2 linked regions of the Nothobranchius furzeri genome follow. Each later gene encodes a partner of the first gene's protein in a complex. Links are inferred from orthologs where the notes say so. Each region holds a gene or a part of one and is shown on either strand. Other genes may lie near its edges.

Region 1 (16,552 bases):
GTTTGTCTTCTCATGCCCTTGTGTGTTTGAGCGTGTGCGTGTGAAAGTGTGTGTATCCTGCACACACACCAACCCCAAAAATATATAGCTGAAACAAATTATAAATAAAGCAGATTTATACTGAACTGGTTTTGAAAAACATCACTTTGCTTTTTATATCTATCTATATATTTATACTTTTTTGAAGGTTTTTTTTTATTGCTAAAGTAAAAATCAAAGATCGTTTATAATCACTGAGGACGAGTTTTTTTAAGAACTTTTATTGAACCTTTGCAAAACGAACAAAAGCGACTACATTTCAAAAATTGTTAGCAGAATGACATTACAGAGTAGCTCCGAAGTTCGTGTTCATCTCAACTTGCATTTTGTAGATACAATTCAACTTGGTATAGTAAGAAGACAATAAACAAAAACAACAACAAAAAAATAGAACATGAAAGGATACAAATAAGACAGCATGAAAAAACATATTATGTGTATATAAATAAAGTTTTACAAGGGGGAAGTTAAAGAGCAAACAAGGTCTATTGTGTATACCATCCAAAAAGCAGTTAGAGATTAGTGTCCATAATGAATTCATAAAGCTTTATAGCATTGGGGGTGGACATTTTACCCAAGGATCTCAATAGCAGTTTAATTTCATTTTTTAGATTATTCCACGTAGGTGGATTTTTGAGATATCAGCATTTGTGTATGAAAAATTTTGTTAAGATTATGAGATTATTAATTAGAAATTCATTATTTTTATCTTTTAGTATAATGCCAAATAAGACATCTTCAACTGTGAAATTGTTTATATAAATTTGATTGGAGTTCAGCCAATTGTGGAGTGAATTCCACATCATTAAAATTTGATCACATTCATAGAAAAGATGTTTGGTCGATTCATCGTTTTGTTTGCATAAGTAACATTTTTCCACATTGAATTTAAATCTGGTTTGTATAAAATGGTTAGATGGGTAAATATCATTCAAGGTTTTAAAATGTACTTCTTTATACTTTGGGGGTAAAGAGAATTTTAGATAGTTGGTTCTCAAAACTTTAATTTCTTCTTTTGAAAAATTTTGTAGTAACGAGAATCGGAGTATTGGGTTTGGATAAGAGGTTTTGTTTAATTTGTTTCTCAGGAAAATATTATTACATTTTTATTGAAAATTTCTATCCCATCAACTGCTAATATTTTGAGTCTAGGGTTAACTATATAACCGATAGAAGCTTTAACTAGATGAACCAGAGCACTCTGAGGACGAGTTGGTAAAGCAGATTTCTGACGAGCTACTTTGACGTCATCGGCAGTCGAAGGACCCCGAGCCGATTTTGCTCCAGACTTGCAGACATCTTTATTTATGCCTGTTTAATATTTGCCTACATTTTCCAATATTATTTGACCAGAAGCCTCATTTATTGTTCATTTATTCATATATAGCCGTAAAATGTTAACATAAATAATTATTTATAAATATATATAAAAATATATGTATTTATTTCGAATTTTTTGCAGGCATATTATCGAGCAGACTTCTCACCGCACGTTGTATCACAAGCAGCAAGTGAGTGTGTTGACCGTTCTCTGTTTGAGTTTATGTGTTATTTTTAAGTTTACACCTATGGGACGAGGGAGTAACTCTTTTTTTCATACAATACCATAAAGCTGATAGTGTATTCATTTAAACCGACCGCAGAGATGTCGGTAAACCGCTTCGTGCGTTTGTTTTCTCGGCTTCAACGCCACATAAACACTCGGACGAGCTGTCGGGTGACTTCTGGCTGTAATTTGTTACTTCGGCAACATCAAGCTAGTTCGGTGGTTTGCTGTAGAAACGTTTCTTCTAATAGCTCAAAATCAAATCCTCCGGACACCTCGCTGTTTGTTCCTGTCTCTTTGAAGACTGACACCTTGGATGATGGTAGTGTAGGAGCTGAGCTGACTCAACCCCTCGATAAAAGTAAGTCGGGTCATCAAAGTTATGCATCTCTTGGGACAAAACGCTAATTTGCTGTTAAATGGCCAAAATTAAACTGCTGCTGACAACGTTGCTGTGTTTGATGTGCATCTCCGTTCTTTAACCTCTGCCTGAAGGTGAACTGCTTAAAATGTTGAACCGGTTTTACAAAAGGAAGGAGATGCAGAAGCTGGCCGCAGACCAGGGTCTAGATGGTAAGAAAATAATACACTGTAAAGATATTACTTACATCAGACCACACGTTTCTCTCAGACGTCTGATGTTTTTTCTAGCTTGTCTGTTCCACCAAACCTTCATCAGCTTTAGAAAATATGTCCTGGAGATGACGTCACTCCCAGCTGATCTGCACATTATTCTCAATGACATCTGCTGTGGTGCAGGTACACCTCCCACGTGATGATTTTGTATTTATTTTGTGACCTACTGATTGTAAACGATTCATATTTAATTGCCTGTAATCTGTTATTTCCTCCAGGTCATACTGATGACATTTTCCCATACTTCCTGCGTCATGCCAAGCAAATATTCCCCATGTTGGATTGTATGGATGACCTGAGAAAGATCTCAGACCTCAGAGTTCCTGCAAACTGGTATAAATAACAAGATCATACCTCATTCCTTACATACAATATAATTAGCTCTGTGGCTAATAATCAAAGGTATCTGCCATACTCAGACTTCATTGTAATCTGCATGAGTGTTTTTATCTGCATCAGGTACCCAGAGGCTCGAGCCATCCAGAGGAAGGTGATCTTTCATGCTGGACCTACTAACAGTGGGAAAACCTATCATGCCATCCAGCGCTACCTCGCTGCGCAGTCTGGTGTTTACTGTGGGCCCCTGAAACTGCTGGCACATGAGATCTTTGAGAGGAGCAATAGTGCAGTGAGTAATCTTCATTTTCTTCATTATTGTTTAGCATAGAGAAGAATTGGGATTACTATTTGGAAACCCAAACTGAAAGTGCTTGATTTAAGATTTTGTCAAGAACCCTGCATTTGTTAAGTTTGTTAATTTCTCATTTTTATTTTATAATCCTGTCTCAATATATTTTTCACTGATCTGTGATCTGCTGTTTTTGTTGGGGTACAAATGACTCTTTGGGCTTGTTTGTACTCTCACAGAGTGTACCATGTGATTTAGTCACTGGAGAGGAGAGGACCTTTGTGGACCCAGAGGGTCGAGCAGCTGGACACGTGGCGTGCACCATTGAGATGTGCAGCGTCAGCACACCCTGTAAGTGGACGTTATGTGTACAAAGTGTTATGATGATGCTAAATCTGTGTGATACTATAGTCGTTATGTCCTCCAGCAGTCTTAAGCTTATAGCAGCATAGCTAAAGGGATGAGCCAGGCCAACACCAGCTATAGGATTTATCAAAAAGGAATGTTTTAAGCCTTATCTTAATAATCAGATGTGATATCATGGGGAAAACTTTAAACCAGAAGGTACAGGTACTTGTATCACACTTATGTCAGTGCGCCCCAGGGCAGCTGTGGCTACATCATAGCTCATCCCCACCAGTGTATGAATGTGTGTGTGAATGGATGAATGATACACTGTAGTGTTGTATCACTGTAGTGTAGGTCATTTTATCATTTATCATATGTGTGTGTGTGTGTGTGTGTGTGTGTGTGTGTGTGTGTGTGTGTCTGTGTGTGTGTGTGTGTGTGTGTGTGTGTGTGTGTTGCGGTGTGAAATATTAACTTAAGACTTAATTAATAACCCAAAAGTTTATTTATTACACAGAAGACTCAGTAAGATTCTTTTCATTTGATAAACTGGAAATGCAACCCGTTTCTGTGTTTCATTTCAATAATGAGGCAAGTTTAAAAATGAAGAAATTTATTTACTAACAATTTTAAACTAAAAGATTTGAAACGACAATCATAAAAATGACTATTCAGAAATGGCAATTTTAATGACAATCCTTAACAGTTTTGATATTACTTGTTAAAAGCAAACCTGTGATGGTTGGAGCTAAAATTGAGAATGATGGGTTTTGGATGCGTGAATGCGGTTCAGAAGGTTTCTTTTGGAGGGAATGGAAGGTGTTCTGGATGAAATGATGTTCGTGTTCTACCTCACCCAACCAGCTGACCCTCTTTGTGGATCCTGACATCGAAGGATGGGTTCATCCAAGATGACACTCGGGGCTGGCAGAGAAGACGCCGAGTGTCCGGTTGTCTGGTCCACAGTGGTAGCAGGGCACACGGCTGCACGAAGCGTTTGGCAGATGCACGTTTCGTCTTTTAACTTAACATCAGAAATCAATGACTCTGGGAGGGTCTTTCGTTTAGCTCGTTAGTTTCGTTTGTTCTTTAGCCATTCTGTCAGCGTGACAAGAACAGCAGGTGGAGGCTTAGGAGACGGCCGTTTCTCCTTACCTCGTGGTGTTGGTTCCAGAACTGGACGTGAAATCTGTGATGGTTAGATTTTACCAAACTCTCTCAGAACACTCCCCCTCTCTCTCCGGAAGAAAACTTGGTCATGCGTCAAAGAACATGTGCTGCAGTTATTGTTATCTGAACTCTGTGTTAGCTGACAGTGAAGGTCATCTTTGCTGAACACATCTTTAATCATTATAATAATTCATTATAATACCCAAAGCATAATAATCCATTTCATGTAATTAAGATACCTTTATAATGAGCAAAGTGATCATGTGGTAATGATTATTTAAACAGTAATAAAATCAATGAAATATTAATTATTATTTAATTATTATCATCGTGGCTTGAAGTGTCCTTCTTCTGCCGGAACAGCAGATACTGGTGTTATGATCTCGGCAGACATCGTGGCTCCTTGGGCTTTAATCTGTGGATTCAAAGTACTGTTTGACCCAGCTGGGCAAATGTGACCTTTGGCACAAATCAGAGAACCTTCATCACGCTACATGTGTGTGTGTGTGTGTGTGTGTGTGTGTTAAAAATAGTTGACTGTTTTAATAGTGACATTTAGTACATCACAAATAGAATTGTTTGTGTGTGTAGATGAGGTGGCTGTAATTGATGAAATCCAAATGATCAGAGACCCCTCCAGAGGCTGGGCATGGACCAGAGCGCTGCTGGGTTTGTAACACATCCGAACACACACGTTTGCATCGTGATTTAATTCATCTGAAGTTGATCTGAACTTAAACCACTCTGAATGGTTTTTGTAGGCCTGTGTGCGGAGGAGATCCACGTGTGTGGGGAACCTGCAGCTGTAGACTTCATCAGAGAGCTGATGTACACCACTGGAGAGGAGGTGGAGGTGAGACTGAAACACTCTGTAGAGCAGGAAATGCAAACTGCAGTGGTGGCCCACAGGAGACCTTCTAACATGGTCCCATCCATCCTCAGGTCCACAACTACGAACGCTTAACACCGTTCTCAATCTTGAACCATGCAGTGGAGTCTTTAGACAACCTGAGGCCAGGAGACTGCATCGTGTGCTTCAGTAAAAATGACATTTACTCTATAAGCAGGCAGATTGAGGCCAGAGGACTAGAATGTGCTGTCATTTATGGCAGTTTACCACCAGGTAAACACATCTTTGAACACAATGGTTTATTTCACTGTACATATATAATTTTAGTCTAATAAAATAATATTGGATCACTATTGATTCCAGGCACTAAGCTGTCACAGGCCAAGAAGTTCAATGACCCCGATGACCCCTGTAAGATCCTGGTTGCTACAGATGCTATTGGCATGGGCCTTAACCTGTAAGATTTGTCAACAAAAAGAGTCATTACCACACCGTTTTTATTTTATTTACAAAAAAACGACAGGAAGTTAAAGTAAGACCTGTATTTGTCTCTCTCTCTTCTGCTCAGGAGTATAAAACGAATCATCTTCAACTCTATAGTGAAGCCCAACGTCAACGAGAAAGGAGAGAAACAGATGGAGACCATCAGCACATCGCAGGCTCTCCAGATCGCAGGCCGAGCAGGAAGGTTCGTCTCTGGTTGAAGAAAACTCCCAGTGCAACAAGCCTTTTTTTGTCTCCAGGATTTTTCATACTTGTCTTTTTCCGTTTCAGGTTTTCCTCAGTTTTCAAAGAGGGAGAGGTGACGACCATGCATCGAGATGACCTGCCCGTCCTGAAAGAAATCCTCAGCCGCTCTGTAGATCCCATAAAGGTGATTATTTTACACACAAGAAGACACCAATGCGTTTCTTTTTGTTTAACCTGCTTGTTTGTCTCAGACTGCAGGACTGCATCCCACTGCAGAGCAGATTGAGATGTTTGCTTATCATCTGCCTGATGCTACGCTCTCCAACCTTGTGGTGTGTAAAAAAAAGCATCTAGTTGTTTATTGATACTTGAGTTAGGTTGTTTTTTTTGGTTAGAATCTGTTTTTTCAATTGATTAAAACTCATAGCTTGTCCTCCTGTCCATTTCCACACCCTTTTATTATCTCAGAAGGATGAATGAAGCTCTTGCTCCTGGGAGGTTCTTTTAGGATGTTGTGGTCCTTGCAAGTGAATGGATGCAGTTAACCACTCCTGCCACTAGAAGTCATCACATTGCACTTATTGGACTTTTAAACAACTGAATTATTGTCTTTGTGCACTAAATTTTGTTGCGTTTTCAATTTGCATGAAGTTTTTTTCATCAACATGAACATTGTTGAAAGAAACTGTGTTAAAGAGGAAATTATCCTAATGGTTGTATTCATGCATTTGACCCCAAACCACATTGTTTATAAATTACGTTCTGTTCCTTTTTTCCATCCCAGGACATATTTGTCAGCCTCTCTCAGGTGGACGGTATGTATTTTGTCTGCAACATCGATGACTTCAAGTTTCTGGCTGATATGATCCAGCATATACCGCTCAACCTGAGGTCGCGCTACGTCTTTTGCACCGCTCCCATCAACAAGAAGCAGCCGTTTGTGTGCACGTCATTTCTGAAGGTGAGACGAATTAGACCCACACTTGAAGGAGGGATGTCCTGAAGCAACATTTGGGAATTCTGAGTAATTTTACACATTTTTCTGAACAACTTTGTGATTCACTTTTTTCAGTTTGCACGTCAGTTCAGTCGAGATGAACCTCTGACGTTTAACTGGGTCTGCCGCCATATCGGCTGGCCTGTGGCTGCGCCCAAAAATATCAAAGATCTGGTTCACCTGGAAGCTGTTCATGATGTGTTGGATCTGTACCTCTGGTTGAGGTAAATGTTGTCATTTCAATTTCCCTGCTTGTTGTCATGGATACTGTTATGTCTAAATAAATAATCATGGATCAAGTTTCTTTAGAAACACGTGCAGGTTTAATCTCTTTTTTTTTACATCTGTGTTGTAGCTACCGCTTCATGGATATGTTACCAGATACAGCCTCAATCCGGGAAATCCAGCGGGAACTCGATGATGTCATCCAGACGGGTGTCCGAAACATCACCCGTCTGATCCGAGCCACAGACCCAAACATCACCGACCCGCTGCAGACGCACGGCAACTCGCTCGACCAAGCAGGGAACAGCAGAAAAGATACTGGCAGCACTTTTTTGACCAAGGGCAAAGGTCAGAGGGGCCCTGAAGGGAGGATAGACAGTTCACTGGCGAGTCGTCTGGTTAGAGACGGTCTGCTTACCCCAGATCTGCTCAAACAGCTGCAGAGGGAGTGGTCCCAAAGCAGCAGTCAGAGTGCCCTCCTCTCAGAACAAACAAACAAGAACAGCAAAGGGAAAAGAAAGAAGAAATGAAGAGACATCCCCATCGTGGTAATCTGGAACAGGTACAGGTTACAGAACTAACAATCTGGAATGAAGCATACAGACGTGTTGGATTATAGTTCAGTCTGGAATCAATTACTGGGTTGTTTTATCTTTGTTATTCTTCTCTAGCCTGCACACGGGCAAACTGAGTCAAGCTGGAGATGCTCGTCATTCCGGTTCCTCCTCACTCCTTTTACGTTTGTCTCTAATGAAGGAGCGGGTGTATCTGAAAAGTGATTCTTCCTTTTTTTTTGTCGACAGAATCACTTTTTAGGAGAAAAAATTACCTGTCATGAAACGGACCAGTTGGCGAGTAACAAACTGAAAGCAGGAATGTTTCAATAGACTTAACTGCAACACCAGACTGATCCATAGCTAGAAAACAATTTAAGGAGGCGTCAAACTTTTTATTTTACTCACTTTGAATCAGATTCTTTAGAACATCTGTTCATAAACCGTAACATGTTATATGTTTGTTTTTGTACATGTAAGCAGTTGTCAATAAAACATTTTAAAGGTTTTTGTTCAGTTTAATTCATGATGTTTGATAGAAGAGCTGCCCCCACCACCCATTTAAGACTTGGACCCTTTGGAGCTAATGTAAAAAATTTGTTTTAAGGTTTGAATTTATCATTTTTATCTTAAACATTTTACAATTTATGTTTTATTTATACAAATAAAAGTATTGTGTCCAATTATTTCAGTTCCTCTACTTATTGCTTAGAAAGTTTGATCAGGTCGGAGTCAGCTGAGGTAATTACCTTTAACCTGTAATGAGGTTTTTAATAAATAACTACTGGGGACAAAGCTGGGTTCATTAAATGTGTCCACACAATATAAATATATATAAACTCCATTAAGTTGTGACTTAAATATTGAATTTATATGTGTTACCTGATTATTTTAATAAATATAGCCACTGGCTTTGATGGTGTACAGGGGTGCCCAATCCTGGTCCTGGAGGGCCAGCATCCAGCAGGTTTTGTGGTTTTTCTGCTGCAACAGATGTGATTCAGTGGTTGAAACACCTGTGCAGCAGCTCATCAGGCTCTGCAGAAGCCTATGAATTAGCTGCTGATTGAAATCAGGTGTGTTGAAACAGAGTTCAAACTAAAACATGTAGGATACCGGCCCTCCAGGAACAGGATTGGCCACCCCTGGTGTAATAGAACGAACCTGCTGTGGTTGTAAAATGTCGTCGGATGCAGAGAATTGTGTAGATTCGCTCAAATATAGGCCTTTATCATTCTTACGCATGGCCATTGTGTAAAATAAGAGATTATGCAGAAGAAATCCAGATGAAACCGTAAACGTTTCAGTGAGACTTCAAAGAGGATGGGCTGTAAGGATGAGAAGGGTTTGGCTTGTTAATCATTAAGTTGGTGCAGAGGTTGGTCAACGCTCAGTGGACTCTAAACAGACAGTGACAAGACACGAAGGATTTTTCTGTTTTTAAATTATTTCCCAGACTGGTGCACAGCCTCCCATTCGAACCAGCTGTTTTTGTTCTGGTCCGTTCTGTAGATCAAGATGTTTGTTGCTCATCTTGTTTCTTTCTACTTCTCCAAACTTCAGGAGGATCCCACAAAGAAGGTGAGACTCGTTCTGGATGCAAAAACCAGTTAAGTTAGAAAGAGATTACCCTCTGTAACTAATGGGGAATCGACCTTATTGCTGTACTATTTTAAGAACTGCTTGTTTTTATAATGTTTTAAAAGTTCAGTTTTGTTAATTTATTTTTGAAAGAAGAATAAAAACCGAATTTGCTGCTAACTGACCTCAAATGCATTTTAACTGGATTTATCCAGAATTAAAACAAATTCTAATCTGCTCAGCGTTGCAGTCAGGCCGCGTGTCAAAAACATTCAACAACCACATTGCATGGTAACTTCACCAAGACCACCAGACGAGGTGGTCCTGTGGAAAGGTGCAGCAACCATTAGTTACTGTATTGCATATTTTTCTGTCCTAGGTAATGATTAATATCATCCTCTTGGATCGATCTAACTTCCTCAGAGATCAAAGTTCTGACACTCCCAGCTCTGATCCACACACACGGTCAAATTCAGATAGTCACGCATTAATAACACTGAACAGTCCAACATTGTTTCATAAACCTGTTATCACACTTTGGTTAATTGCGTATTTATAGTCATCTGTTTTAAGGCCCTCGTAATAAAACTTATTTATGGATCTGATCTGTAAGGATTTTGTGGACCCAAGACACAGAGAATGAGACACAAATGACATTAAATGAAACCAGAGTTGTTTTTTGTTTGTTTGTTTATTTTTGGAAGAAAAAATCTGCTACAAAAAACAAACTTGCTGTGAGAATAACCAGGAGTACACATGATCTGGAGAAACCAGGGACTATAGATGCTGGAAGGGTGGTCATAGACTGAGCCAAGGAGCAAAACTGAGAAATGAAACATGAAAAGGGGGGAAAAAAAAGATGAGCATGTAAAGATGAATTAAAACATCACTGACTTTAAAGCAGATCTAAGCATTCCATTTCTGTGCTTATTTGTCTGTAGAAGCGTAACTAATGAACAGACCCTTTTGTGTTGATTATCATTAACGCACCTGCACTTTTGATCCAAAATGTCTACTTTCTGTATTATTTTAAATCTCATATTTATGTTTTTTTGTCAAATTCACCATTTAAATATCACCTAAAATTTCAATATTTTCCTTAAATTACTTGTTTTTTTGAAAATGTTTTATTTATGAACCAGTATTTATTTACAAACATAAACCAGTATATATTTTTTCAACCGCAAAAAGGCATCATGAATTAGATCCTGCAACCCGTTTCCTTTCTGTTTATTCTTCCCTCTTTTTCTTTTTTTTTTAAGGTGGACCGGTTTCTTCATGCCATGCGTCTCAACGATGACCAGCTGAATGAGCTCTCGGCACGTTTTCAGGCTGAATTGAAGAAGGGGCTTTCTGCAGAAAGCAATGCAGCAGCAGCTGTAAAAATGCTGCCAACTCACGTTTGTTCCACTCCGGATGGATCAGGTTATTAGAGACGTTTATTTCCATAGATATTTGTGCATTTTGTTTATTTCAGAACTATGCTATTATATAATATTTCTTTCTTTTTTCCTTTTTCTTGCAGAGAAAGGTCAGTTCCTGGCTCTGGATCTCGGAGGCTCCAAGTTTAAGGTGCTCCAGGTTAAAGTAAGAGAATGTGTGGGCATTAAAAAGGGAGATGTGGAGATGGAGGAGAAGATCTATCCAGTACCAGATGAGCTGCTCACTGGGAGAGCAACAGAGGTCAGAAATGGATAACCACATAGATTTTAAGATTTAAAAAAGGCAGACTTTCTCTACTGCCTTATCTCCTCCTCATCTGCAGTTATTTGACCACGTGTCAGAGTCTCTGAAGGATTTCATGCATGAAAAGAACATCAGTCTGGAAAAAAAACACCCCTTAGCATTCACCTTCTCTTTCCCGTGCGATCAGTCCCGTTTGGATCAGGTACAGCCTTCTCCATACAGCATCCGGTTTCATAATCTGAACAAACTCCACAGGCCTGTCATTTCTAATCCCTACAAGGGATTGTTTTCACTCTCTAGGGAACGTTGTTGAACTGGAGCAAGAACTACAAGGCTCGAGGCCTTCAGGGGAAAGATGTGGTCCAGGCTCTCAGAGAAGCTGTTGAAAGAACAGAGGTAAGATGTCCCCCACATCTTTCATGGGTCTGATGATGACTAGTCTGATGTTTTAGTCGAGGATGTACTGTTTCTAATAGATCTTCCTGCGTTAAACATAGATTTAGTCTGTTTTGTGATGTTTTCTCATGTTTACCTTTGCAGGGTTTAGATGTAGAAATATTAGCAATGGTTAATGACACCGTAGCCACCATGATGACCTGTGGGTTTGATGACTCGTACTGTGAAGTGGGAATTATCGTTGGTGAGTTTAGAAAATCAAAACATCACCATTAAATTTAAAATGGTAAGCAGATTGTATTTCTATAGCACTTTCTAGGGTTTCTACAACCCCCCAAGGCACTTTACAACACATCCAGTCATTCACCCATCCACCAACACACACACACATTCAGGCACTGGTGGTTATGAGCTACAATGTAGCCACAGCTATACACTGATGGAAGCAAGGCTGTCGTGCACTGGCGCCAGCGGTCTCTTCGACCACCCTGATGAAATGATTGATTTTGTTATAACTGTTGTAGTTTCTTTATTTCATTTGACAAATTTTGCAACAACGTGTGACATTTCCTGGGTTCAAAAAGAGCCACTCACTGAAACTGCTCTGTTAGCAGTGACTGAATCCTTAAAAGAAGCTAGAGCGACTGCCAAATCCTCAGTGCTTATCCTGCTTGACTTATCGGCTGCATTTGACACTGTCAACCATGGCTTCCATTTGTCCACACTCTCTAGCATGGGCATCACAGGGAAAGCACACGCCTGGTTTGAATTGTACCTCACAGGACGATCATTCAGTGCATCTTGGCTTGGACAATCCTCTACCGTGCACCATCTTGCCACAGGAGTCCTCCAGGGCTCTGTACAAGGACCTCTTCTCTTTGCCATATACACCACCTCACTGGGTGAGATCATTCGATCACATGGCTTCTCCTACCACTGCTATGCAGACAACACCCAGCTCTATCTGTCACAACCACACTGTCTCTGCACGAATATCAAACAGTCTCTCTGACATATCAAAATGGATGAAATCCCATCATCTCCAACTCAACCTCTCTAAAACTGAACTACTTGTCATCCCAGCAAAACCATCCATACAGCACAATATCTCAGTGCAAAATGACTTCCTATCTCTGGCTCCTTCAAAGGCAGTTTGAAATCTGGATGTTGTTATTGATGAACACCTGACCTTTAAAGATCATGTTGCCTTTGTTGCCCGTTCATGCCGCTTTGCGCTGTATAACATACGAAAGATCAGACCATACCTAACACAACATGCCACCCAGCTCCTGGTGCAATCTACTGTCATCTCCCGCCTCGACTACTGCAATGCTCTTCTAACTGGTCTTCCAGGCTGTACTGTGAGACCTCTTCAAATGGTCCAGAACGCAGAGGCGCGTCTGGTCTTCAATCAGCCAAAAAGAGCACGCGTCACCCCTCTGTTCATTGAGCTCCACTGGCTACCGCTAGCAGCACACATCAAATTCAAATTGCTAACACTAGCATACAAAGTCCGAGAAGGTACGGCTCCCATCTACCTGAATCCTCTTGCAAAGGCTTACGTCTCGGCCCGGCCGCTCCGGTCATCACAGGATCGTCGGCTAGCAGTGCCTACACCACGCTCAGGACAATCCAGACTCTTCTCGTGCATCGTTCCACAAATGTGGAATGACCTTCCAAGCACTACCAGAACTGCGGCTTCCTTTTCAATTTTCAAGAAACTCCTGAAGACCCTGCTCTTCAGAGAGTATCTTCTTAACTAGCACCTTGCCTGCACCCGTCCCCCCTCTCTACTGTCCACTCCTTGCTCCCTCCTCTCCATGACTGATGTCAATTTGTTGTTGTTACTATTGTTGTTAGCCTCAAGGGCAATATGCCGATTATCAATTGTAAGTCGCTTTGGACAAAAGCATCTGCTAAATACATAAACATAAACATAAACATTTCCAGGCAATTAGGAATTTGTTTTGCAGAGAGAGAGAGAGAGAGAGAGAGAGAGAGAGAGAGAGAGAGAGAGAGAGAGAGAGAGAGAGAGAGAGAGAGAGAGAGAGAGAGAGAGAGAGAGAGAGAGAGAGAGAGAGAGAGAGAGAGAGAGAGAGAGAGAGAGAGAGAGAGAGAGAGAGAGAGAGAGAGAGAGAGAAACTGAGTTATATTAACCTCCATGGCAGCAGACAACAGGGGCTTTGTTATCACTGTGCCGTGAGTGTGTTTTGTGTGTTTTTATGTGCATGGGCACCGGCACCAACGCCTGCTACATGGAGGAACTTCGTCACATCGACCTGGTGGAGGGAGATGAGGGGCGGATGTGTGTGAACACTGAGTGGGGTTCATTTGGAGATGATGGAGCCCTGAAGGATTTCCTAACTGAGTTTGACAGGGAGGTGGACGCAGCTTCCAGCAACCCAGGAAAACAAATGTTTGGGAAACAGATTTCTTTTCTCATGTTCTCGTGCCGTGTCTCCTTTCCTTCTGACTTTTTCTTTAATCTGCAGATTTGAGAAGATGGTCAGTGGGATGCACCTGGGGGAGCTGGTGAGGCTGGTTGTGTTAAAGATGGCCAAACTAGGAAAGCTGTTTGATGGACGTGTGTCAGATGCTCTGAGGACCAAAGGGAAGATAACCACTGCAGATGTTGCAGCAATGGATGAGTGAGTAAAAACCAAAAGGGAGATCATCTTTTCTGTTTCTGTTTAAAAATTGTTAGTACTAATTTTCTTTCCTAGGTACAGAAACGGTCTTAAAAACACCAAAGATGTTCTAGATGAGCTTGATTTGAACCCATCAGATGACGACTGCATCGCTGTTCAACATGTCAGCACCATCGTGTCCTTCAGGTCCTCTAATCTGGTGGCTGCAGGACTGGCTGCCATCTTGACTCGAATCAGGCAAAACCGTAATATGGGAGCGCTGAGAATCACCGTAGGTGTGGATGGTACCGTGTACAAAACACACCCGCAGTAAGCTGTTTAACTCTGTTCTCTTGTTTGCATAATGCAATTTGGCATTTCTAGCTCTCTTAGTGTTTTTTTTTCATTTAAATCTTTTGAGTTTAATATCTGAAACAGCTTGCTAGAACATAAAATGTAAAGCACATCACGTTTTGTGATGCTTATTTTCATATATTGATTGAAAATGACACACTATGGCTGTCCTGTGACATTGAACGAAACTGGGGCAGCAGTAGCTCAACAGGCTGAGCGGGTTGTCCAGTAATCGGAAGGTTGCAGGTTTGATCCCGGCTCCGGGCCTTGCATGCTGGTGGTATTTGGAGGGACCGGTGGCGCCTGTGCTCGGAAGCCTCACCCCTATCAGTGCGCCCCAGGGCAGCTGTGGCTACACTGTAGCTCATCACCATCAGTGTGTGAATGTGTGTGTGATGAATGATACACTGTTGTGCAAAATGCTTTGGAGTCCTCTGACTCTGAAAGGCGCTATACAAATGTGGGTCATTTATCATTTAAACTTCCACATTGCTGCTTTGCTGTTCCACACTGACATTGCCTCTCTGCTGTGCTTTCTCAGGTATCCCAAACGCCTTCACAAAGTGGTGAGGCGGTTGCTTCCCGAGTGCCAGGTTCGATTTGTCCTCTCAGAAAGCGGCAGCAGCAAAGGTGCTGCCTTAGTAGCAGCAGTTGCACAACGTCTGACATCACTGAGACGACAGGTTGGATTGATGGCGTGCATTGTTAGATTAACTAGAAAAAAGCAGGCTCACAGCGAAGTACCTGCATGTCCTTATCAGTGGTCGAGCCTACTACTGACTGATGAACACAGACCAGAGCACCATCTAGTGGCAAAGGCCCTTCATTGCTACTTGAACCCAAACACAGCATCTGAAGCCCCGTATCTCTGGTATTCCAGGTTTCTGAGACGCTGTCTCTCTTCAGATTAAAGGAAGAGCAACTCCAGCTGGTCAAAGCCAGGATGAGATCAGGGCTGGACGCAGGACTGAGGAGTAAAAGCTCCTCCACCATAAAAATGCTGCCTTCCTTTGTTTACCTCACGCCGGACGGTACAGGTATGGAAACTAAAACTGACATTACCCTTTAAGGATAGGGCAAATTCCACTTTTATCATAAAAGAACTAATATCTTGACATTTCATTCATTTTTCTAGAGCGTGGGAAATACCTCGCCTTGGATCTGGGAGGAACAAACTTCAGAGCTTTGCTTGTGAGATTTAAAAAGCAGACGTCCAGACTTTATCATAAAATTTACACCATTCCACTAGAGATCATGCAGGGAACTGGGGAGGAGGTAAGAAACACCTCAAGCATTTTATTAATAGTACAACACTGGGTCAGTAGAACATTTATAAAACGCAAAATAAGATCCTTAGTAAGATTAGTGTGTTCTTTGTTTTCCTCCAGCTGTTTGACCACCTAGCGCAGTGTGTGTGTGATTTCCTGGACTACATGGGATTAAAGAACACCCGTCTTCCTGCAGGTTTCACCTTCTCCTTCCCCTGTGAGCAGTCAGCCATCGATACAGTAGGTGGATCAGAGTGGGAGTCTCATGCTTGGATTGTATTTCTAAACATTAATTTTCTTACAGCCACGGAAAAATTTTCACATACTAGATGTGGCCCATCAGACTTCATTTATTTAAGGGTGTGGGAAACTGAAAACCGGGTTTTTTGATTCTAATCAGTCACTGGGAGTTTTTTATGCAGGTTGAACATGAAATAGTATCCTACTCCTATCTCCTGCATTAGCTTCTAATCAGGGGCGGATCTACAAAATTATTGATGGGGTGGCAGAAGAGGGGCAAACATTTTTCTAGGGTGGCAATACACACACACACACACACACACACACACACACACAATATTTCACTGCACTGAGATATTGTACTTTGGTTCTATTGTTCACTCAGAAACACATTTTTCTTTTCCCAGTATTTACATATTCATTTGTTTTGGGTCCTTATTTAATAAGCTTAAAGGCCCATCATGAAAATAAAACACATAATAAAATTATATCCTTCCTACAACAGCTGAATGCGGCAGTTTCCATGTTGGTCAGCAAAACTATTTACACATTCATCAAGACCCAAAGATTCTGCCCGTTTCGATTCAATGCTGAGTACAGCCTAGCTTCATAGTCTTTTCTCTGCCAAAGCGGACTGCAAATAGGTCTTTATGAGCCTGAGAGTTGAAAAACTTTGATTTTTCTTGAATTTATAGCTGCCAGCTGGGGTGGCAGCAG
Region 2 (16,552 bases), on another chromosome or scaffold:
GTGTGGGAGGGTGGCTGGGCTAGACGACTACCAACAGCTGCCTCAGTCCATAACCAAATGTGCAAGGAAAAAAAATCCACAAACACACATACTCCCACACACACTCAAAAGCCTCGGAGATATCCATGCACAGAAGCACAGTGTTGGCTGTGACTACCAATCCCCAACATCCTGTCAGACAAACCACGGTTCATTTCAGTTCACTTCTAGCCACCTTTTAAGCACCACTGCACATAAGCACAGAGATCCTACAGCGTATCTGGGTAGCACATATTCATTTGTAAACCCCAGACTTGTCTTTTTCATGTCAAAGGTTATTGTCCTTTGGTTTTTCCATCTTGCTTCATTCTCCAACCCTTCCCCCATATCCTTCCAGTTGCTTACCCATTACCCAATGTTCCACTGGGGAAAATGCACTGGAAATACAGTTTTTACTCTTTCACACAGAGTAAACGAGGAAAGCTCTAAACCTAAAAACTGCTTTCCTAAACATGATTCTATTTGGAGCCGGCGAGAGACTAGAAGCACTCAGGAGTAGAACCAAATCACTGGAGAGGGAGATGGAAGAGGTTGTTGAAACTTGAGGCAGCTTATAGCAAACGGACAATCGGAGAGCTCAAAACAAGTGTCCTCTTAATTGTCCTGTCAAGTTATTATTGCTATAAATGTGACTTGTTACAATAATAAGCATGTTTTTTGTACGTAAACTGTTCTCACTCTTTAAAAAGGCATAAGATCAATCAACTATATGTTCTACAAATACATTAGATATGAGGTTGTCTCGGCTCAAACCAATGGGAGGAAACACGAGATGTGCTGCACATAAATCCCTTTTAAACCTATTCATCAGGGAGCAGGCAAAACTGAATGCTCCTTAAACTGGCAAGCAGGGGAAAAGCTGACAGGAGAGTCTGGCATTAGTGGAAATATGGAAAAAAAAATGTATTTTAACAGATCATGCTGGCAGGAAGTGGCAACCTGCAGCCAGACAAAGAAGTAGAAATCTTTCTCCTGTCATGCCACATATAGAAACGGTCTCAGGAAAGAGACAAATTCGACATGCAGTCCTTCACAAATCCAGCACTGTCAGTAGATCTTACAAATAAGCTACATTTTCTTTAATTAGATAAAAATAAAACGTGCTCTTGTTTCCCTGCACCATCCAAGTTAAAATTTTCATGCATGGTGTGTGTGCTGGGAAGAGTGTTTCTCCTTAGGATTAATCAACAACACAGCAGGGTGCAGCTTCAAGGGAATGAGTCTAGTTTTCTGCTGAGGCATGCTGCATCCATGCAGCTGACACCGGTGTACACAAGCTCAAAAGACATCTTAAGTGTTAATATATCTGACCCACTCCCACCAACACAGGGTCCTCTTTGTGAGCAGCCTCCATTCAGCTCAACTGGACAGAGGCTGCTGTCTCGTGTAAGGATGACCATCATTTTAACCCTCCTCCACTATAATAACAATAAAACATGGACTGTAGGTTGTTGCACATCTCTGGTTTGATGTCTGCATGCCCTCAATTGGCTAATTCCGTGCCTCTATGTAGGCCAGCTCAGAGGACTGACCGGTTCGGCTCTCCAACTCTCAGATTTACTTACATCTCCAGCATGAACTCGTTCAGGTAAATCCCATCCACTAATTCCATATATTCCGATAATTTACTGCCATCGCTCACTGTCGACCGCCCGACGGTCTTCACCTGGAAAAAGAAAGGAGTGCGATCAATTAACAGGCGAAATAAGGTGATTGTTTAATGAGTCAACACTCATTAGCATATTTAATTAGGGTGCTTACCCAGCAGACCAGAGGGGTGAGCATGAACTGCTCCAGTAATGGGGTGAAAACCTCGTTCTCCATATTTAACCTTCAGCCGTTTGTTCAAACAAATTGGGATTTTTAAAAAATGATTTAAACTCCTCTCATGTTGATAATTCCACGTTTTAATCCAGGCTTTACTTTACGAGGATTTAAAAAATAATAATAATCACTAATTTTCTCAAACCGACCCAGCTGTTGGAGATGCCGCCGACGAGACTTCTTCCTGGGTGGGAGAAGAAGAAATCACATTTTTGTGCTCAAAAACCGCATTCCCTTAAGGTTTTCTGTTATTTAAGGATCAGTCCGCGTTGCGTTCAATATTTAAACGACGAAAAGAGATGAGAAATAATCCTAATTCGGGTATGTAAAAGAAGGTCCAGCTGCGAGGGAAAAATAAACAGATGTTGCAAATCCAGCTTCGGAAATGATCGGGTTCCACCTCATAGTTTTTTGTTGTTGTTGTTTTTTTAAATAAAGTGACTTCCAGACGCGGATTCCTGGCTGTCTGCGTCCAAACGCCGCACACCACCGAGCTGCTGCTGGAGAGTTGAGAGGATGACTGGAGGACACGTAGAGCCGCGCCTCCCTCCCTGCGCATCTCCCTCCTCCTCCCAAAGAAAAGTAGGGCATTAATCAAAGCGTTCCCTTTCTCCTCTGATTTCCTCTGAGTCATAGAAAAAAGATCTTAGTCAACATGTGAACAAACAAATAAAATAAATTCACTCATGTTTGAGTGCGAGTAATGGAACCACTTTGTCTCAAAAGAAAAGTGAATGAAAACTCCAATCTTGTGATTCATAACCTCAGTGTGTAATACTGACTATTTAAGTGCTTATTTGGTTTAACTTCCACGCAGAAATGCAGGGTAACAGTGCATAAATGCACTTCCTTTGTCTGCCTCTGCAGCATGCATTAGACATCATAATGGAGGTAAAATACTGACACCTGGTGGGTTATGTCACAGATCACTATATAAACATCTAAAAAAAAAAAAAAGGTTGAAAATATTCAGATCCTTAGAAGGGGTCTGTGGGGATGTTGAATAATGCATTTCCTGTTCCAGATGGTTCTTTAACAACCTCAGTTTGGGGAAATAGAGAATGAGGCCCAATCCCAATACTCGCACTGTGCCCTTCTGTGAAGTGTGCTTGGAAGAAGTGCACAGCAAGGCTTCGAGTGTGTGGTGCACAAGTGTGCAAATGATTGCAGAATTTGGACAGGGAGCATTGCGTCATCAACCGTCTGCTGGTCACTGTGCTACTTAAAAAAACTTCATTAACTCATTAACTGCCATTGACGACAAAAGTCATCATTTTAAATCCAACTGCCAGTGACGACTAAAGTCATCATTTGCATTTTTTTACTGTGTGGGCGTAGGAATGAGCCCCCGCAACGTGAAAACAAACATCTCAGCTCGCTGATCTTCATCTGTGTATGTCACACATCACATGATCAGGAATTAGAAAATCCATGTGTTAGGAGATCTTTTTGGGCCGCTGCTGTAAAGAAAAAGGCACGAACCGTAAAAGCTTCACAATTCAACAACGGATTATGAAAGAACGAACAGCGCTCGAAACACGCAGATTCATCCTGATGTAAGAAGTGAGTCTACTCTTTGTTTTGGTAGTTTTGACGTTGACATCACCCTAGTGCGCAACGTTCTATGACTCTTAAAAATACAGTGAAAATGCTGAAAAACGCCGGCAGCAACGGGCTTTTCTGATCAGGAAACGGGAGGCAATGAATGAGTGAACCAAACAAATATTTGACAAAATTTACATTCATTGCTATCCACATTAAATCTTTGTCTAAAACATTCAGAGCATCAATTAATCGTCCTAAAATGAACGACTTTCCTAATAAAATACATGTTTTCAGAAAAGGCATTTGAGCCTTTGCTCCCACAGCAATGGATTGTGGGTAATTGAGAATCGGGGCACCCTACGCACTCACACCCCTGGCTGGGATTGTGCAATTGAAGGGCACAAGTGTGGAAGTGCGAATATTGGGATTAGGCCTAGCACATGAAGATGTTCTGGTCAGCCATTTTTCAGAGCACATTTTAGTCCCTAGATCAGGGGTATTCAATTCCAGGCCCAGAAAGCCGGTAGCCGCACGTTTCAGTTGTTCCTCTGCTCCAACACACTTGATTCAGTGGTTGAGTCAACTGTGCAGCAGCTCATCAGGCTCTGCAGAAGCCTGTTGATCACTCGCTGATTGAAATCAGGTGTGTTGAAGCAGGGTTAAAACTAAAATGTGCTGGATACCGGCCCTCCAGGTCCGTAATTAAATACCCCTGCCCAAAATGGTACTAAAGCATTTGTCAAGCCTCCCAAATAAAACACCATGGTTGCTCCATAACCTGAGGGTTGCGGGTTCAAGCTCAGCTTAGTCTGTCGCAGTCGTTGTGTCCTTGGGCAAGACACTTCACTGCATTTGGCAGTCTTCTCTCCTGTCAGTGTTCCCCAGGGCAGCTGGAACATGTGACTCCTACTATTTAATAAAAAAAAGTAACGCATAAAAACACTTGGAGTGAATAAGATAACTCACTGGTGAACAAATTAAACTGAAGACTGAGTTTGTGTTTATTGAATAAACTCCTATAACAGGAAGTCCCAGTCATGCAGATGCTAAATACAGATTTTAAGACAACACCAGCAGAAAGGTCATGTGATCTAATTAATAAATGGCTATTGCTGGAGCAGTGATCATGTGGTCAAATAACCTATTAAAATGTAATGACTGGTTCAGATATGAGAAATAAAGAATTGCTCTGGAATCTGATCAGAAATAAAGAATAAGGATTTGGATGGAACTTTAAAATACTTTCAGCAATCCGTGTTTGTAAAGTAATGGTTTATTCCCATTTTTAATCAGGCTAATGGGTGCTGTTGTTAGTGCTTTTTAGAGCATTTAGCAGACTCGTTGTTTTTTGAGAATCAAGAGAATTGATCTGACATATCAGAAAGTTATATGCTCATGTTTATAAGGTTTATGTAAATTAGTAATTTATTTCAAACCTTTTCTGAAGAAACCCATGCTCTTTTCTTCTAACCCCATCATCTCAGCAGACCACTAAACCCTGACGCACATAATGAAAATCTTTTATGGCTGCTTCCCCACACACAGCAGCCTGAACGTGACCATTTTCTGCTCTGCCACTGTTGAGACATTGTTTGAGTTTCCCTTAAGCTTGGGTTGTTTCTGATTGTGTGTTAGCATTTATGTGCATTGGTGGAGTTTATTGCCCTTGAACTGAACGGGGGTGTTCATTCCTTCCTCATTAGTATCTGGGATTCATGCTGCCATTTGGGAGTTTTGTCACAAAGCGGCACTGACTTTTACCTGATGACTCAGTTAGTTGGCATTCTTTATTATTATAACCACAGTAATACTCATAGAAAGGCATTCTCTTCTCCTATATGTTAAGTTTGTCAATTAAAACTATTATTTCTGAGGCATCACTCACTGAGGAACCAGATTACCACAAAGTCCTGCAGACAGTTTCACAAAAATGTGCGATTTATCACAAACATTTCTATTTGTGGTTCAAACTAGAACAGAAATTTCTTCTGAAAATTCAGCCCACAAAACTCTTCCTTAAAGTCGTGTATGTTTTTCTGGTTGTGTAAAATTCCATACAACAAGAATGCACAGTCACAATTCTTGTGTTACTGCAGGAAAACCATTCAGCCCAGGAAAAAATTGACTGGTCCTTTACACAGTTTAATATCCCACTGCTCTGCTTGATTCAAATAAGTTGTTACTGTGTCCCTGGAAAAAAAGAGACAATACTGTGACAGCTCTTGGTAATAATAGGAATGAGAGGTTGTGTGCGTCATACTCAGTGTGCAAGTGAAGCCGTGCTGTTTTCCTCTGCAATTAGCTGCCAAATGTGTGTGTGTGTGTGTGTGTGTGTGTGTGTGTGTGTGTGTGTGTGTGTGTGTGTGTGTGTGTGTGTGTGTGTGTGTGTGTGTGTGCGTGTGTGCGTGTGTGTGTGTGTGTGTGCGTGTGTGTGTGTGTGTTCCACTTAGAGCTAGGAATTGGATGCTGTTAATACTCATCTGTTGTCATAACAACTGCTGGAAGCCCACTTTTAGAGGGATTGCTCCGTGACTGGAGGTTGTTTGCTGGAAAATTAACTTCCAGAATGGGTGAAAATTTTCAAGGGAAGCTCACTGAAAAGCTGACAGACACAATGAGAAACAGTTCCTTGCTGATATCTCAAAGCTAACAGCAATTGAGATTGTAATATCTTGCTCTGCTTGAGCAAAGCCTAATCTGACTGGATGTGTGATAGCTGAAGCACATTTTATTCTTGTGATCTTGTGTCGCAATAGATGTGTTTTTATAATATCCTGACACCTGTTGGAGAAAACTTTATGTTACGTAAAACTGTTTTTGTGTGACCCACCCCACATTGCTTAGTCTACATGACCTTGCCTTTTTTAGTATCATTTTTTATTTTCTGTAAAATCTTTATAATTGGATTATTTTAAAGCAATTTTAAAAAATGTTAAATAAGAGTAAGATGTGTATTTTATTTTCCGGAGTAATGGTGTAAAATAACAATTAACATATAAAAGCCTTCTAAATTAGAAAAGGGGAAACTATGGTTAGATTTTCATGAATAAGTGAAATGGCAGTAGAACCATTCTGAATTTTAATTGTAAGCAAACTGCCCAAAATAAATGTTATATTCTAATGGAACAAATAGAGCTAAAAATGACAGGATTTGAAAGAAAATATGCATTAATCTTTATATTTTAGATCCACTTTTGAATCCACACCTGCAAAAATACGAATTTTTGCGCTTTTGTTAATTTATAAAGTAATTTACAAAGCATATCATAGCGTTTCTCTTTTTATATATATTATTCGTAATCTTCACAGGAACTACATACAAGCGAAGTAGCACCGACGGGGTTTTGCTGTAACGCACGTTCTCTCATCCGACCAATCAGAAGATGCGGCATCTTGACGTAATTCCGTCCATTTGACCGACTGTCATGGAAGCCCTCGTGCATGAATGTAAACCGTGTGACTGCTCTGTTTAAAAGCGGGAGCGTTTCTTTTGTGTTTTATTCCGGTAAATATGAGGTGTTTGCTCCGACTGGGCCGCTCGTTCGGCCACCTTCGGGTCCGGTTATGTCACCAGAGTGTTTACAGCAGGAACACAAACCTCCGGAGAGTGGGAGTGAACCTTGGAGAGAAGTAAGATTCGTTTCTCTGACATTCTCTGATCCGACCAGACTCTGTGTGATTTTCATCTAAGATTGTTTATATGCAGGATGCGCAGAACTGGGTTTGTCTCAAAGGTATTTAAGTCTGATTTTGCTTTTGTAGAAAACTTGAAATCTCTTCGGGGAAGTTTGCAAGGTTTGCTGATGGTGCTGCTGTGGTACAGGTAAGTCCAAAAGATGCTCTTTGTCATTGCTCATTCATCTTCCTATTTTAATCTCAACGGTGAAGTATGTGGTATATATTGTTGAGTAATATATGTAATATTGAAATGTCTTCTCTTGGGTCCCTTTTTCCTCTTCCAATATTTTTGCTGCTTTTTCCTGTGATTTATCGTTATACAAGAAGATTTTTAAAAAAGCGTATTTAGATATTTTTGTTTTGAGTTGTTTTGGCCATTTTGAAATCAAGTCATTGTATGATTTAACATATGTAAATGAAGTTTATTGAGTGGTTTCCATAGTAACTGCCTCTACCTTCCCCTCTCCCTTTAGCTGGGGGACACCTCTGTGATGGTGACTGCTGTGAGCAAAACCAAACCTTCTCCATCTCAGTTCATGCCACTTGTGGTAAGGTCCCATCCGTGTTTTTATGACAGCGTGAATCTGTTATCACCGTGCTTATTTTTTACTGCGTATGTTCCAGCTACATGAGGTCTAAGAGGATTTTACTGAAACTGTAAGCCTTAGGACTTGAGTGGTGTCACAAAATGCTTCTTATGTGCCGTGTGAGTGAATGTATGCTTTGTTTTGGCAGGTGGATTACAGACAGAAGGCTGCTGCTGCAGGTCGAATCCCAACCAACTATTTGAGGAGAGAACTAGGCACCACTGATAATGAGATCCTCACCAGCAGACTCATCGGTGAGCTGAAAATGAAACTTTTGCTGCTCTTCTTCTTTATAATGGTAACGTAGAGTCAAAATTTTTAACTGACCTCTTCATGTCTCTGTTGATCAGATCGGTCGATTAGACCTCTTTTCCCTCCTGGCTACTTTTATGACACTCAGGTAAATTCATATTTTAAAAGTTTGAATGTATCATGTAGTTTTGTTTTTGAACAAACATGACAGTCAGGATTTCTTGAAAATATTTTCATCTCTTCTAAAGGTCCTTTGTAACCTCCTCGCAGTTGATGGTGTAAATGACCCAGACGTGCTAGCTATTAATGCAGGTAAGAATACACCTTATTGCTTTACGTTTCCTAATACGTACGGTGCTTTAAATTTTTAGTTGACGTGTTATTTTCTCTCATTGAAGCTTCTGCTGCTCTGGCTCTGTCTGACATCCCTTGGAATGGCCCCATAGGTAATAAAACAACTTTGAAATGCATTTCTCCTAATATCTTCCATCTTCTTTACCTATTTGAGTTTACATGACTTTGTTTGAATTGTGACTTCTCGTGTGTTTCCAGGTGCTGTACGAGTTGGTATGGTTAATGGAGAGTTACTGGTGAACCCGACAAGGACAGAGATGGCTTCCAGCAGTTTGAACATGATTGTGGCTGGGGCTCCTAGCAGTCAAGTGGGTAAGGATGCAAAAATACCCACTCCACTAGTAGTAGTAGTAGTAGTAGTATTAGTAGTAGTATTGTAGTAGCATTGCAGCTTATTAAGAATGCTGCTGCTTGATAACCAAGCACATCGCCCGGTTCTTAAATCTCCACTCTGGTTACCAGTAAACTACAGAATTTATTGTAAAGTACTTCTACTAGTTTATAAATGACTCTGTGGCATGGGGCCAAATTGCATGTCTGATGTCCTTCCGGACGGACCTGGTACCAGGTTCACAAGCACTTCCAGCAACAAAGTTGTTCAAAAAACATGCTTAATATTCACCAATATATGTCAACTGCACACGTACTTAACAGGAAGAGGCTCATCTAAATGATAAAATCCATGTTTTCTACCTCAACTTCACCAAATTCACAAAATGACGCTAAGTAGAAAGCAAAACAATGCTAATTTAATGAAGTCAAAAACATAAATTCAGTCTTGCCTTTGCTGGTTTATGGTCATAATAATCCGTGTTATAGTGAAAAAATCCACTTTGTTTGTGTAATCCTATCACTCAATGTCCCACTGACCTGATTGCTGACTGTTTTTGGGCTGTTTTATATGCTGGAGAGTGTTTACAAGTCTCCAATGCTACATTCCACCATTTTCTGGTTGTCCATAATAAAAAAACTCAATGAGGGCTTCTCAGCTGCTCCACAACAAACAAAGAGCAGTGAGCTAAAAACAAACCAAAAAAATGGTGAACTGTGGAGAGCTTCTGGTCCCAGGTGAACATCCTGATCTGTGGATTGGGAAGCAGACCAAAGCGGGAGCTTTAGTGGTCCAATCCCCGGACAAGGAAACTGGCTATTGAGACATGGAATATCACCTCTCTGGAGCTGGAGGTTGTGGAAGAGGCTGAGTAGTACCGGCTAGATAAAGTCAGACTCACAGTTCTTGAGACGAGTTGGACTCTTTTCTTTGTTGTAGTTACTCCAGGTGAGAGGCGGAGGGCGGTGGTTGGCTTTCAGTTAGCCCCCAAACTCTCAGCCTGTATGTTGGAGTTTACCCCAGGGGTCAAGAGGGTCGCTTCCCTTCCCCTTCAGGTCAGAGAACAGGTCTTGTCTGTTGTTTTTACTTATGCGCTGAATACCGATGCAGAGTACTGTTGTTTTTGGAGTCCCTGGGATGAGTGCTAGATGATGCTTTGACTGGGGACTCCATTGTCCTGATGGGGGACTTCAATGCTCACGTGGGCAATGACAGCATGACCTGGAGGGACGTGATTGGAGGAATGGCCCGCATTCTGAGTACCTTTATTTTCCAGCTTTGCACGTTTCTAATCAGTTTGTCTTCTACGTGTGTTCCAGTGATGATTGAGGCATCGGCTGAGAACGTTCTGCAGCAGGACTTCTGCCGTGCGGTAAAGGTGGGAGTCAAACACACCCAGCAGATCATACTGGCCATCCAGCAGCTGGTGCGGGAGCAGAAAGTCATCAAACGCACGCCAGTCAGAATGTTCTCAGTCCCGACTGACATGGTGGAACACGTCCAGAAGTAAGAACACATGCACAGTGGTTTTCTGTTGTTTAAATGTGATAAAGATGGCAGAAGGGGGTAGTAAAACATGTTATTTTATCTTCCTTTAGATTGGTGTCTGAGAAGATCCATGCTGTTTTCACAGATTACTCGCATGATAAGGTAAAGCTTGGAATCCATTTTGTTTGTTCAAATTAAAAAAATGTTCATGAATGATTCTAATCTTGTTTTAGATTTCGAGAGACGAAGCGATTAACAAAATACGACTAGAAACTGAGGAGAACTTTAAAGGTGGGAAACCCTTAGTATTTATTTTAAAGCCACTACTTTTACCTAATCATATATATAAAAGTTATAATTGATGTTTTTGTGTGTGAAGAAAAATTCCCTCAGGCGGAGCCCTTTGAAGTCATTGAATCATTCAATGCTGTGAACAAAGAAGTTTTCCGAAATTTAGTTCTCAGTGAGTACAAGAGGTACGTTTGTCTGTACAGGATTTCCAGAAAAATCTCAACGCTTCATTTCAAAACGTGACTTGTGTAAACGTTTTTTCCCCGTTTTTTTAAAGGTGTGATGGAAGGGAACTGACGTCTTTAAGGAACATATCCTGTGACATTGACCTCTTCAAGCCGCTCCATGGCTCAGCTTTGTTTCAGAGAGGACAGACACAGGTTTGTAAAAACATCATTTCAATCAATTGTTGTTTTTTTTAAGATGGCTTAAGCCAGAGCTATTCAAGGGCTGGTATCCAGCACGTTTTTTTTTTTGGTTTGGTTTTTTTTTCTCTTTTTATTTCATTCAAAATAAAAACAAATAAGACATATAAACAATAAGAAATACATAACAAAAAAAAAAAATAAAATTTGAACGAAAAGGAGCAGAATGAAGAAAAACATCTTATAGTTTCTGCCCCCTTTTCCAGAAGAAATAATCAATTTATATACAATTTCCATTTGTCCGACACACATACAGATTCATTTTAAACTTTTTCCTGTTCTAAATTCCAGTGCGATCATGATCATTGATTTAATTTACATTTTCATAATTATTTAGTACACTCAACTTGGTACATTTTTTGAATATATTAAATGACAGAGTGTTTTAATTTCCCTTTTAAGGTTATTCCATAATTTAACACCATTTACAGATATATTCCATTCCTTAATTTTAGTTCTAAATCCAGGTTTTGTAAACACATCAGTTTCTTTCAGCATGTAATTACTACTTCTCTTTTCAAATATCCCCTGAATGTTTGTTGGCAGAGTACCTAAATTGGCTTTATACATGGTTTGTATGATTTTCCAGTCTTTTAAATCATGAAATTTCAGTAATTTATATTTAATAAACAATGGGTTCACTGGATCTCTACAGCCACTATAACTGATGATTCTCAGAGCTCTTCTGTAAAATAAATAAGGGTTATGTATAGTTTTTGTATGTTTCTCCCCAGATTTCTACACAATAAGTCAAGTATGGAACAATCAGTGACTTGTACAATGCCAACAAACAAGAATTAGTCAGTAAAAACTTGACTCTGTGTAATACTCCTAAGGATTTGGCAATTTTACCTTTTATGTAACTAATATGGGATTTCCATGTCAACTCTTCATCAATAAGAACTCCAAGAAATTTAGTTTATTTTACTCTTTGAATTTCAATCCCATCATTTTAGTTTTAACCCTGCTTCTACACACCTGATTTCAATCAGCAGGTGATTAACAGACTTCTGCAGAGCCTGATGAGCTGCTGCACATGTGATTCAACCACTGACTCAAGTGTGTTGGAGCATAGGAACAACTGAAACGTGCTGGATACTGGCCCGAAGTTGAATAGCCCTGGCTTAAGCTATTAGAACCCCGACATTTTGGCGACCACGAAAGGACCTTTGATCTTTCAGGCTCCAACAATGCCATGTTTTATTAGAAAAGAGAAACGGCTCTAAAACTAATGGAAAAAAAAAGAGCTTGTTGCATCTAAAAGCCATTTTAAATAAAAATGTATGTATCTTTATGGTCTTGCACATCCTGTAGGTGCTCTGCAGTGTTACATTTGACTCCCTGGAATCAAGTGTCAAAACAGACATTATAACCACTGCTCTCAGGTGACGTAAATTCATTTGTTTATAAAGTTAATGATCACTAGCTAATATTACTGACTTCCATCTGTTTGAACAGGAATTCTAATTACATGTTTTAATGAAAACATTTTGCTAAGTCAACATGTTCAGTACTTAAACATCCTACAATATTTCTCCGTTTGCTGATGATACCACAATATATTTGTACTAACCATCTGCTGTAAAACACACCTCAGTTAAATCAAGGCGTTCTAAAGGGCAGTGTTTAATAAAGTAAACTCAAACAGTTTTATTTACAACAAATCTATCAATCTAAGTGACTCATGGGTTTGATTGTGATAAATCTGTTTTTTAGTATTATGTGATGCAATGTAATCTGTATATGCTTAATGGGAGTGGGAAGAAAAGTAGCTAACGTAGCATGCTGTGTTAGCTAACAGGGATCAAAACAAATAAAACACTGTTTTGAATTTATGGAAATTTAAACTTTAAGCCACTAACATTTTCATTTTCATTGTATATTTTATACAGATTAGGAATAATTTAGTAATTTGATCACTATTTTTTTCCTCTGCAGTGGCATCAAAGACAAAAACTTTATGCTTCATTATGAGGTGAGTAAATGCTGTTGTCCTTTTCTCTGAAAAACCGAAGGAAAAAATATGATTTTTCTGTTTTTAGACATTTGTTCTCAAATTATCTTTAAAAATCAGGTGGTTTTGATTTCAGTTCCCTCCTTATGCAACAAACGAGACTGGGAAAATGGGAGGTCTCAACAGGAGAGAGCTTGGGCATGGTTTGTTTGCATTCATATCCTTATATGTATCTCCCACAAGCAACACCACCAGTGAAAGTGTTTTTGTGTGTTTGCAGGAGCTCTGGCTGAGAAGGCTCTTAGACCGGTCATTCCTACAGATTTCCCTTTCACCATCAGGGTCACAGCAGAGGTGCTGGAGTCCAACGGTCAGTGTTGAGATGCCAAGTGTTTTTGTAAACAATCCCGTAAATGTCTGCGTATTAAGACCAGACATCATCTCTTCTTCTCCTTCTCCCAGGATCCTCCTCGATGGCTTCAGCGTGTGGAGGCAGCCTTGCTCTAATGGATGCAGGTACAAAAATGGGAATGCTCTAGATCAGTGATTCTGGTGGGTCCTCCTGACCCAAAATTGGGCCGCGGAGCCGATTTTAGTGAGTTATGGCTCTTTACCAGGGCAAAAAAATTTTTTAATGAGACATGCAGTTTTATTTTGAAGGGGAACTTTTTGTCCCTTGGCCTGAATTGCAGTCTGTTCCCACTCCTCTGCAGCAGGTGGTGATAGGGGGTGCTAATTGCTTCCCGCATTTTACAACACAAAGTAGGACACAATGGTACTCAACTGTAGCACTTTTATTTTAACATTTGTACATGTACATGAATATGTAGACGCTAGCGATGTCCCGATCAGGTTGTTTGCCCTCGAGTCTGAGTCATTTGATTTTGAGAATCTGGCGATACCGAGTCCCGATCTGAGACTTTCGATACATAAAAAAATAAATTAATTAATTAAGAAAAGGAAGAAACTGTTCCAGAATGTTCCTTATTTTTTATTTTTGGGTGGCAGACTGAGGCGGGAGCCTTGGCGGTCCGATCCCCGGACAAGGAAACTGGTTTTTGGGACATGGAACGTCACCTCGCTGGCGGAGAAGGAGCAGGAGCTTGTGGCAGAGGTTGAGCAGTACTGGCTATATAGCCGGACTCACCTCGACACATAGCATTGGCTCTGGAACCCAAGTCCTTGAGAGGGGTTGGACACTCTCCTTTGGTGGAGTTGCTCCGGGTGAGAGGCGGAGGGCTGGGGTTGGCTTTTTGTTAGCCCCAAGACTCTCTGCCTGTGTGTTGGAGTTTACCCCGGGGGACGAGAGGGTAGCTTCCCTGTGCCTTCGGGTTGGGGAATGGGTCCTGACTGTTGTTTGTGCTTATGGGCCAAATATCAGTTCAGAGTACCCACCCTTTTTGGAGTCCCTGGGAAAAGTGCTAGATAGTGCTCCATTAGGGGGCTCCATTGTCCTGCTGGGGGACTTCAATACTCACGTGGGCAATGACAGCATGATCTGGAGGGGTGTGATTGAGAGGAACTGATCTGCGAGAGCCTGATCTGAATTCGAGTGGTGTTTTGTTATTGGACTTCTGTGCAAGCCGCAGTTTGGCCATAACGAACACCATGTTCGAACATAAGGATGCCCATCGGTACACATGGTACCAGGGCAGCCTAGGTCGCAGGTCGATGATAGACTTTGTAGCCGTATCATCTGACCTGTGGCCGTATGTTTTGGATACCCGAGTGAAGAGAGGAGCGGAGCTGTCAACTGATCACCACCTGGTGGTGAGTTGGATCAGATGGCAGGGGAAGATGCCGCGTTGACCTGGCAGACCCAAACGCATGGTGAGGGTCTGCTGGGAATGCCTGGCAGAGGAACCTGTCAAGACGGTCTTCAACCCCCACCTCCAGCAGAGCTTTGAACACGTCCCGAGAGCAGTGGGGGACATTGACTCCGAGTGGGCCTTGTTCCACTCTGCGATTGTTGAGGCGGCTGTTGCTAGCTGTGGTCGCAAGGTGGCCGGTGCCAGTCGTGGTGGCAATCCCCGTACCCACTGGTGGACACCAGAGGTTCAGGGAGCCATCAGGCTGAAGGAGGCCTACAGGGTGTGGCTGATCTGTGGGTCTCCGGAGGCAGCAGACCGGTACCGGATAGCCAAGCGAGGTGCAGCAGTGGCAGTTGCCGAGGCAAAATCTCGAACGTGGGAGGAGTTTGGTGAGACCATGGAGAAAGACTATCGATCGGCTCCAAAGAGGTTCTGGCAAACTGTCTGGAGCCTCAGGAGAGGAAGGCAGCAACTCGCTCACACTGTTTACAATGGGGATGGGGAGCTGCTGACGTCAACTGGGGGTATAGTCAAATGGTGGAAGGAATACTTTGAGGAGCTCCTCAATCCCACCTACGCACATTCCAAGGAGGAACCAGTGCCAGGAGACCTGGGGATGGACTGTCCAATCTCGGGGGCAGAAGTTGCTGAGGTAGTCAAACAACTACACAGCGGTGGAGCCCCGGGGGTGGATGAGATTCATCCTGGGTATCTCAAGGCAATGGATGTTGTAGGGCTGTCATGGTTGACACGTCTCTGCCACATTGCGTGGTCATCAGGGGCAGTTCCTGTGGAGTGGCAGACCGTGGTGGTGGTCCCCATCTTTAAGAAGGGTGACCTGAGGGTAGGGCTGCAACAACGAATCGATAAATTCGATGAAAATAGATTACTGAAAGCGTTGGCAACGAATTGCGTCATCGATTTGTTGTGTTGCGCAACTCTTCCAAAAGCCCCCCCCCCCCCCCCCCCCGGCCACCGTTGCGCACAGACCGGATGCAAGTCAGATCAGTGCGAGGGAGAGCCGGCAGGTGTTCGGAAGAGGAACATGGCAGAAGCAGCAAGACCCAAAAAAGTAAAAACTTCTAAAGTTTGGGAGCATTTTCAGTTAAATCAGGCGAAGACATTCGTTACCTGCAACGTTTGTAGGTCAGACTTAGCATGGCACGGGAGTACTACAGTGATGATGCAGCATCTTAAACGCAAGCAAGTCAGAATCATCAGCGAGGAAGGGGAGAGCTCTGTGTCCGGGTAAGTTAAAAACTTTTCAAAAGTGATTCACCCAAGCCCCGGATTATTACACAGGCTAGACATGCCCTAAGCTTGTAAAAAAAAAGGTCTATAAAATCGTAAACGCGACGCTATTAGATAAACGGGGGGGGGGGGGGGGGGGGACTCGCGCTGCTGCGAACCGGTTCCGCCGTCACATTCCCGCAGAAACTGGTTGACTACACCGGGGCCAGACTACTAGCACCACACTGTCCTCAGAAGCGAAAACGCTTTTAAAAGGGAGGGAGAAGTACTAACTCTCGCTGCAGGCGTGTTGTGTGAGAGTGCAGTTATATACTGGTTAATATATTTTTGGGTTCATTTGCTTTCATGTGGCCTAATGTGAGTCTATTTGGGATCATTGGAATGATCAGCAGCATTTCTTGATGTGACTTTATGGCAGTTGCCCACATCACAAGGAGGATGGCATTCATTTACTTTTGTTTTATTTGGTATTTTTTCAGTCATTTTTGGAAATAGTGATTAATTTTGATTAATTCACAGCCTATGTTTAATTACATTTAAAAATTAGTTGTTTGACATCCCCAGTTATAATAAATGTCTACAGATGAGATCAAACAAAACAGATGAGAATTGCCCTTAAAGAGCAAGTCACCCCCAAATAAACATTTTTTTTGTTGATAAACTAAATAAACGAGTGTCTAATCCTGCTGCAGACACGTGTCGTCAATAATTTGGAACTTCAG

Evidence for each region.
Region 2: supv3l1 (region 1) and pnpt1 share a complex: the UniProt entries of both Homo sapiens proteins name them as parts of the mitochondrial degradosome (mtEXO) complex. The link is inferred for Nothobranchius furzeri from reciprocal best matches to the Homo sapiens genes SUPV3L1 and PNPT1.

What each region holds. Positions count from the first base shown.
Region 1 is NC_091749.1:53,792,258-53,808,809, forward strand, and holds supv3l1 (ATP-dependent RNA helicase SUPV3L1, mitochondrial), read left to right. Parts: upstream 1-1,545; 5' UTR 1,546-1,684; coding exon 1,685-1,946; intron 1,947-2,080; coding exon 2,081-2,158; intron 2,159-2,236; coding exon 2,237-2,344; intron 2,345-2,439; coding exon 2,440-2,554; intron 2,555-2,680; coding exon 2,681-2,849; intron 2,850-3,088; coding exon 3,089-3,200; intron 3,201-4,958; coding exon 4,959-5,036; intron 5,037-5,128; coding exon 5,129-5,220; intron 5,221-5,309; coding exon 5,310-5,490; intron 5,491-5,580; coding exon 5,581-5,674; intron 5,675-5,785; coding exon 5,786-5,905; intron 5,906-5,991; coding exon 5,992-6,091; intron 6,092-6,158; coding exon 6,159-6,239; intron 6,240-6,691; coding exon 6,692-6,868; intron 6,869-6,979; coding exon 6,980-7,128; intron 7,129-7,259; coding exon 7,260-7,659; 3' UTR 7,660-8,191; downstream 8,192-16,552. Other genes in the region: hexokinase HKDC1, read left to right, coding at 9,202-9,264, 10,527-10,689, 10,790-10,947, 11,030-11,152, 11,251-11,346, 11,491-11,589, 13,578-13,762, 13,839-13,994 and 5 more. UniProt on the Homo sapiens protein: Major helicase player in mitochondrial RNA metabolism. Component of the mitochondrial degradosome (mtEXO) complex, that degrades 3' overhang double-stranded RNA with a 3'-to-5' directionality in an ATP-dependent manner.
Region 2 is NC_091752.1:26,269,686-26,286,237, reverse strand, and holds the start of pnpt1 (polyribonucleotide nucleotidyltransferase 1, mitochondrial), read left to right. Parts: upstream 1-6,801; 5' UTR 6,802-6,919; coding exon 6,920-7,038; intron 7,039-7,170; coding exon 7,171-7,231; intron 7,232-7,559; coding exon 7,560-7,634; intron 7,635-7,821; coding exon 7,822-7,927; intron 7,928-8,023; coding exon 8,024-8,073; intron 8,074-8,173; coding exon 8,174-8,237; intron 8,238-8,323; coding exon 8,324-8,371; intron 8,372-8,477; coding exon 8,478-8,591; intron 8,592-9,929; coding exon 9,930-10,116; intron 10,117-10,208; coding exon 10,209-10,260; intron 10,261-10,331; coding exon 10,332-10,389; intron 10,390-10,477; coding exon 10,478-10,574; intron 10,575-10,666; coding exon 10,667-10,769; intron 10,770-12,128; coding exon 12,129-12,199; intron 12,200-12,752; coding exon 12,753-12,789; intron 12,790-12,904; coding exon 12,905-12,971; intron 12,972-13,048; coding exon 13,049-13,138; intron 13,139-13,230; coding exon 13,231-13,284; intron 13,285-16,552. Other genes in the region: ccdc88ab (girdin), read right to left, coding at 1,605-1,705, 1,801-1,863. UniProt on the Homo sapiens protein: RNA-binding protein implicated in numerous RNA metabolic processes. Catalyzes the phosphorolysis of single-stranded polyribonucleotides processively in the 3'-to-5' direction. Mitochondrial intermembrane factor with RNA-processing exoribonulease activity.